Linked DNA regions of Tamandua tetradactyla. The protein of the gene in region 1 purifies or fractionates together with the protein of each later gene. This does not show direct contact. Links are inferred from orthologs where the notes say so. Each region holds a gene or a part of one and is shown on either strand. Other genes may lie near its edges.

Region 1 (3,744 bases):
AAGAGTAGGGTAGGGGAACCCCAGGGTCGGCCTGTCCCTTAGTGGTTCACTTCCAGGTGGTTTTGAGAGTAGAGCCCGTTCCCCCCTGATGAGCGGGGTGCTGGGTCCTGGGGGCCTGTGGCCGGCACGGGCTTCTCTGTGTAGATGAGAGCAGCAGGGCCTGAGCTGGGTTTTGGGGCCTGGACTGCCTGCGTGGGCACAGAAATTGACACCTGTTTTACCCCTGGGCCGTGTGGGTGCCCCTTTTCCACAGCCCATGACGGGGAGCTCCTGGTGCATGCAGTGCCCCGGCCTGGGGGTGGAACCTGCCCCCAGCACGTGACCCCCAGAGCCAGCCCGAAGCCCAGCCTGCTATCCTGTCCCCTCTCCTGTCTTCTTCCACCTGCACCCGCCCAGGATCCTTGGACCCACAGCAGGCCGCAAGCTTTGGCCTTGGGTTGACTACGAGCGCCTGGAGAGAAGAAGGGCGTCTCGTGCGTCGCCCTGCTGCGGCGGGTGGACATGGGCACCCCTTTCCCATGGCCCAGCCTCTCTGTTTGCTGGGCAGCGGCGCCTGGGCAGTGGCAACCCCTTCTGGGGTCGGGTCCCTGGCGCCAAGGCAGCAGCCGGTCCCAGCAAGGATGATGGAGAGGGCCCGCGCCAAGTATGGCTCACTGGCCGGCAGCCTGTGGGCCCCAAGGTCTGAGCAGACCCAGGCCGGGACACCGGGGAGCGGGACTGTGTGGAGAGCAGCCCCTGCCATGGCACCTTGGCTGGTGGCCTCCACCAGCGTCGCACAGTCACACACGGCTGGGCTTTCTCCGGAGGAGGCTGGGGCGTCATCTGCGGTGCATGGGCGCAGGGCCGTGGGGGGGTGCGTTCCCTGGTGAGGCCCCCTGCAGCACCCCCACAGAAAGGGGCTGCCCGTTCCTCTCTAAGAAAACCTTGGCATCGAGGCCTAAGGATGGTCCCTCCCTCTCGGTGTCTGGGCTGTGGCCCTGGGGCTCCCTGGTGCCGGCCTGCCCTCAGTGCCCGGGTCGTGGCAGGGAGGGGAACCCTCGAGCGGGGCCCTGGGGAAGGGATGGTGACTGCAAGGCCAAGGGATGGGGATGTCTTCAGGTTGGGGAGTTGCCGGGGAGGGCCGTGGAGCGAGACTTGAAGGCCACAGAGGCCAGGCCGCGGCAGGCGCTAGTCGGGCCGGCTCCACATGTGAGCACCAGGCTGGCTTCACAGACCCCCATCTGCAGCGTCTGCGCTCACAGCATGCGATTCCAGTCCCCAAGCAGGGTGCCAGGCACCCCACCTCATGGCCGCCTGAAAGGTGCTGAGTAGGGACATGCCCTTGTACTGCGGGTTGAGCGGAGGTGGGGACAGAGACCCACGGCCTTGGCGGACTCGGGACCCCAGGTGCAGGCAGTGCAGGGTCCGGGAGTCCGGGCCAGAGCGGGGTGCTGCCCACAGGGACCCGGGGCCCTGGCGTCCTGGCTCAGGGCTGGGTTTTAACACATTTCATTATCCCTTCCAAGGTCACATCTTGTTGCAATACTATGTGTCTCGACTCTTTCAGTGATTGGAGGGGAAGCGAACAACCTGGCTACAGCTGTCAGTTTTGCATTGTGCCCAGAAGTGGTGGGCAGAGGGTGAGAGCGTGGGGGAGAGAGCGAGCGGGACAGAGGCAGGAGTGGGGCAGGGAGGCTGGGTAGGTGGGAGAGGGTGGCACGGACCCTTGTCTCTGTGCCTTGCTGATGAGCCCGCAGGGTCCGGGGCTGGCCAGGCACTGGGTGCAGGCTTCTCTCTGCCCTTCACTGGTGGCAACTCAGGGAAGGAAGCACTGAGAGCAGTGGAGGGGTGCACGCCTGGGGCCTTTCCCTCCTGGGCTGGCACAGGCGGAACCGTGGGCGCAGGGGCTCACCCCACCCCAGTATGGAGGGAAGGACTGGAGCAGGCATCTGGAGGACCTGGGGGTCGTGGGGAAGGGTTTGGGAATCGAGGGACAGCAATGCGAAGTTCACACGCCGCCGCGTGGCCTGGTTCCTTGCCGTTCGCCGGGTCACTCCATTACTAGAACTGCAGTCGAGGCCAAGGCCCAGGATGCGGGGTGGGGCCGGGTGGGTGCTGGGTCTCGGCAGGTGGCCTGTGCGTCCAAGGCCGAGCTGACAGTGGTTTGGGCCGGTGGGGGTATCCCTCTGAGGGCACTAGGGGGAAGCAGTGCCTCGGCAGGGGTCCCAGGCCTGAGGGGCTCTTGCCTGCCCCCTTGTCTGGCTGGGCCCCGTGAGGGGTTGGGTGGGAGGGGCCCATGGAGGGAGTGCGGGAAGTGATGCCTGGAGAGGGTCCAAGAGGGACTCGCTGAGGGTGACGCCTGCGTGATGGGGCGTCGCTGTCCCTGTGCAACTGGTGAGACTCTCCCCTAGGCGTGGCAAAGTGTCCCCTGCTGCACCTGGACATGGCCATGGCTCTGCGGCCGGCAAGGACAAGGCCTAGGTGGGGGGGTCGAGGAGGTGAGAGGCGCCCCTGTGGGTCGGCCGGGGCTTCACAGGTGACGTGCCGCTCTATGCAGGTCGGCGGGCCCGAGGGCGTGCTGCAGAATGGGGCCGTGGACGATGGCGTGGCCAAGACCAGCCAGCTGCTGGCCGAGCTGAACTTTGAGGAGGACGAAGAAGACACGTACTACACGAAGGACCTCCCCGTGCACGCGTGCAGGTGAGCCCCGGGTCTTTGAGGAGGCCCGCCCGGGCTGTCCTTGTTTCCGGCACACATGGGAGGAAACCGAGGTCGAGAGAGGTGGCAGCGCGCTGCTCAGGGAGGGCTTTTCCTTTTCCTGGAGTTGCGCTTTGCTCACGTTAATTGATGAGTGCACAGATGCCCCTGTCCTGGCAGGCCGCTTGCTGTGTGTGTGTGGTGGCCCTCTGGGTGGCTGGAGAGGTCCCCACGCGGGGTCCGCGCCCGTCCTGGAACACAGTCCCCTCGGCCCTGCACGTGTTGCTCCCATGGGGAGGATGTGCCTCCGAGACTGCAAGCCCGGGGTAGTGGCCTGCGCAGCCCGGGGTCTCCTGGTGGCTCCCAGCACACCTCGCTTCTGCCTTGTCTTCTGTTTTATGAGGATCTGTTATTAGCACTGTTGGGTTTGAGTATGTGTTTAACGCAAGACTTAAAAACGCCATGAAAGAGTCTCACATACTGCCTCACGCACTTGGGAGCGCAGCCTTCCAGGCTGAACGGTGGTGTCTTGCTTTCCAGCTACTGCGGGATCCACGACCCCGCCTGCGTGGTCTACTGCAACGCCAGCAAGAAGTGGTTCTGCAACGGCCGCGGGAACACCTCCGGCAGGTAGAGGCCCGGGCAGGTGGCCTGCGGGGAGTGCGGGCAGTGGGCAAGAGGTGCCGCGGGAGCCACGTGGTGGCCTGGGAACACCTTCGCCTCCTGCCTGGTCTGTCCTCTGTGACTCTTCTCACATGCGCGTGGGGTTGGCTTCATTCTTGGCCCAGATTTTCACTATGTTCTTGCGTGAGGTGAACTGCTGGCCCGCCCCGGCCAGAGGGACCTCGGGGCCCGGGGAGGTGGCCCGGGGAGGCTGTGGGCAGAGCCCACGCGGCGGAGCCCCAGCGTGTGGCCCTTGCACCTCTTCTTGCTGTCGATCAGCATCGGCCGCAGGACTTCGGGTGAGACGGACCACTTGGCTATTGCACAGCTTCTGGGGGCACAGCTGCTGCCTGGCTGGGCCTTCCCACCCAGGCTGACCGGAATGCCCAGCGCTGCCCCAAGACT
Region 2 (3,744 bases), on another chromosome or scaffold:
TTTCATTATTAAAGCAACAATGCAAACCTAGATAACCACGTGATTGTTAGAATAATTGCAACTAATCCAAACAACAAACAAAAAAAGAAATAGAAAACAACAACCACCTGGAGATTTAACATCCTTCATTTCGCTAAGTATTCCAAACTTTCGGAATGTACGGCCAAGATATAGGTTAGCTGTAGGGCTGGCCGGGGTTCAGGAGAGGGTTCCTTAGATTAGCTTTTCTCTGGCCTAGACGCCATCCATCACATTCTCTTCCAAGGGCCTCAAGACCTTCTGACTCTTACCAAGTAACTAAGGTTTTCTTTGGGAGGAAGATGGAAGTAAGAAACTGTGATCATTAAGTATGTTACACTAAATTCTGTGTTGTTCTACCCAGAAGATAAATTGTGTCTGTAAAAAGGAATGGGGACATACAAAGTTCATAAAAGCCTATGAAAAGTCATAAAAATCACAAAAGTCTAAAAATTACACTTCTTGTTTCTGGAATGTTCCGCCCTCACACGTTCGGCGGGCTCAGGTCTCGCTCCGACGTCTCCCCGGAAGGGCCCGCCCGCCCGTCCCCGTCGGTCACCTCGTCCTCTCCGTTTTCTTCACAGCACTTGCGGCCCTCTCAGGGCGTCTTGTTTGCTTGCGCGGCTGCGGTTTCTGCCTGTCTCCCCTCCTTTTGGGCAAGGCATTTATCGATCTGAACCCTTTGTATAGACTACGGAGTTTATTTACTTATTGCGTGTTTTATCCCCACTAGAATGCAAGTTCCATGAGGGCAGGGGTCTTTCTGTTTGGTCACCATGCTTTCCGCTCTCACAGTGACGCCTGCTCAGACACACTTACGAAAGGAAGAAGGGGGGGAAGGAGGGTGGGAGGGAGGCCGGAAAGGAGGCCGGAAGGGAGGGAGAACCGGAAGGGCGGAAGGACCGCCCACTTTCCCAGGTACACCTCGCGCGGGCCTGCAGTCCGGGACCCCAACTCCCAGCAGGCCCAGGGGCCCAGGGCGGGCCGCGGCGTGCCACGCCGACTCGGCCCCAGTCCGCCAGGTTCCCGGCGCGCCCCGCGAGCTCAGGCGCCGCCGGAGCGCCCGCCGGGACTTGTGGTTCCGGCCACGGGTGGGGGTGGGGCCGGGCATGGAGGCGGGCGGGGGCCGAGGGCGGGCGCCGGCCCCTCCCCCGTCACTTCCTGCCAGGCTGCGGGCGCCCAGCGGCTCCTCAGCGTTTGCGCCCGCGGCCGCCGCGTCTCTCTGGTTTCCCCCTTCCCCTCACGTCCCGGCCGGGCGGCGCCCGCCCCCTCCACGGCCACTCCGCCTTTTCCCTCCCGCCGTCCCCTCTTCCTCTCCCCACTTCCTTCCTCCTGCCCCTTCTCGACGTCGCCGCCGCCACCCAGGCCTGTCGGCCGGGGGACGAACTCGGGGCAGCAGCCAGGTGAGGCGGCTGGGCCCGGCCTGGCCGGCCCGCGCGGGGCCGTGGGCGCGGGGCGGCGGGCGGCGGGTGGGGCCTAGGCCTCGGCGAGCCGCGCGCGGGGTCGCCGTCCCCGGGCCTCTGTCCGCCGGCGGGGCCTTCCCCAGGGAGGCGGGTCCTGCCGAGACCCCCGGTCAGGGCGCCCGGCGGCCTTGCTGCTGCCCTCCCCCACCCCCTCCACCCCCTGCTGGGGCCACAAACAGGTGCCACGACCGCCTTTCCGCGCTCGGAGCCGCCGAAGTTATTCCCGGGCCAGGGGCCGGGGGAGCGGGTAGGGGCGCGGCTCGGAACTCCGGAGCCCCGGAGCCCCGGAACAGCCCGGTGCCCCCAACCCGGCTCTGGAACGTGGTGACTGCGAGCACTGCTCAGGTGTTCACCGTGGGCATAGATCCTCGCCCTGCCTTCTTGGGCGAGTCGCTGAAACTCTTTGGGCTTCTTTGGAAAAGGGGCTCACAAGGTCCCGCTGCTAAGGTTCAGTGAGCCGGGGCGTGTGAAGCCCTCATCAGAGCTTCAGACCCTCCGCGGGTCCCGGTAAGCCGCCTGCATCTTTTATTAGCGTGGTATTAAGGTGTAATTGAATGGGTAGAGCGGACAGAAGTTGACCCGCCTTCCAGTTTGCGTTTCCTTAGAGGCAGGGATGTTGAGCGTGCCCACCAGCAGCTCCAGGACATTGTTTTGGGTTGTTAATGTCTGAAAGGGGCGAACGCTGGAATGGGACACCTTGGAGCAGCCGTCTGTAAAAGGTAGATGTTGTATGTCCGTCTCCTCCGCTTGACCGACGGCAGGGTTCCCACCAGCTCCCTCACTGCGAGCAACCGGTCCTTTTCTTCTTCCGTTGTTGGACTTCTTGTTATTCCATTTTCTGGGAAACTTGCTGGCAGAAGCTTCCCTTGAGTTCGGCAAACGTTTTTGGAGCACCTGATGTGTGTCGGGCTCTGGAAGGGGATTGTACGAAGATGGAAAAAATAAGTCCTTTCTTGCTCTCCATCTATACTTCCTAACTTTTTTTGCACTGCAGCTTTGCTTTTATTCCCTGCGTCCCCGTTGGCAGACTTTCATTTTCAGCTCTTGCTCCTTCCGTGTGTTACAGTTTTGCTTGTGTGGAAGTTTTCTCCCGATCCCGCAGAAATGCGTGTTTCAGTCTGTTCTGCCACTCCTCTTTGACTCTAGGGACGTTTTTAAGATCACTCTTCCCTTCTCCTTGTGACTTTGATTAGAAGGCGGTGGAAAGAGTTAAACTAGGTTTTCCGTGGATTTTGGCCTTTCAGAAATCAGTGTGCTTACCAAATGTAAGTTACGTTGCTACTTGTTGAGTTAAAAACTAAAAATACAGTTGGATTATAGAGGGAGCAGTTTCAATCATCCTGGCAACAGGTGGGATTTTTAGAACAGTTTTATTCATCATGCTGATTTTCTTTTAATTCTGTACTTAGTTGTATATTGCACCCTTCATTAAGGAATTGAAACTCCTGAAAGTTCAAATTTACAGGAATTAGAAATAGCATGTGTTTGTTATACTGAATGGGTTCTTTTAGGCAGCGAATTTCTTTAGTAAACTTAAAATGTTTTTATAACCATCCCACAATAATACAACAATGCAAAGTATCCTCTCTGTTCTCGGCATTTTCCTAGAATTTTCTGACATAAAGTCTTACCATCATTTTTACTTTAAATCTTGTTATGGCTCTTTAGAAACACTTAAAAAACACCTATACAGACAATACAAAGCATGTCTTCTGCCATATTGTGAATTGAAGTGCTAGAGAAGTGATGCTTAATGCTGCTGTAGATAACTTCAAGTTGTCATAGAACAACTGTTTATTATGGAAACCTACAAAAGTTGGTTAGAGAACCGCCATGTATTGGTCACTCATCTTTGACAATTATTAACTCATAGCTAAAGTCAATCTTGTTTCCTGTTTCCCACAAACTGGATTATTTTGAAACAGAACTCAAACATCATATCATAACTTTAGCGATTTTGACTTTTATCAGAATGCCTCAGTGTGTTAATTTGTCACAAAATCTACTTTCAGCAGGATCATAGTTCTAAATTTTGTTTGTTGGGGTGCCCGTCTCTGTTTACATACGAGTACAATGGAAAAAAAATTAGCTTCAAGATTAGTTATTGATCCAGTGCTTTCTCCCCTCAAAGTAAAATCCAAAAATACTTCCTTGTTTTTTTTGTGTGTGCAAAAACAACAGTTCTTTCGCTGCTGATGGCTGTAACTGGAAAGCAATCAGAAATACAGATTTCCTGAACCCTGTTCCGGTGAAGATGTACCTG

The links. Proteins that work in one complex are often made in the same cells at the same time.
Region 2: the proteins of UPF1 (region 1) and STAU1 purify together in Homo sapiens (affinity purification with mass spectrometry; 7 studies listed by BioGRID and IntAct, with this or other methods). This does not show direct contact. The link is inferred for Tamandua tetradactyla from reciprocal best matches to the Homo sapiens genes UPF1 and STAU1.

Annotation. Positions count from the first base shown.
Region 1 is NC_135337.1:95,947,362-95,951,105, reverse strand, and holds the start of UPF1 (regulator of nonsense transcripts 1), read left to right. Parts: upstream 1-1,073; 5' UTR 1,074-1,082; coding exon 1,083-1,300; intron 1,301-1,546; coding exon 1,547-1,619; intron 1,620-2,536; coding exon 2,537-2,679; intron 2,680-3,216; coding exon 3,217-3,306; intron 3,307-3,744. UniProt on the Homo sapiens protein: RNA-dependent helicase required for nonsense-mediated decay (NMD) of aberrant mRNAs containing premature stop codons and modulates the expression level of normal mRNAs.
Region 2 is NC_135327.1:3,472,612-3,476,355, forward strand, and holds the start of STAU1 (double-stranded RNA-binding protein Staufen homolog 1), read left to right. Parts: upstream 1-1,304; 5' UTR 1,305-1,421; intron 1,422-3,744. UniProt on the Homo sapiens protein: Binds double-stranded RNA (regardless of the sequence) and tubulin.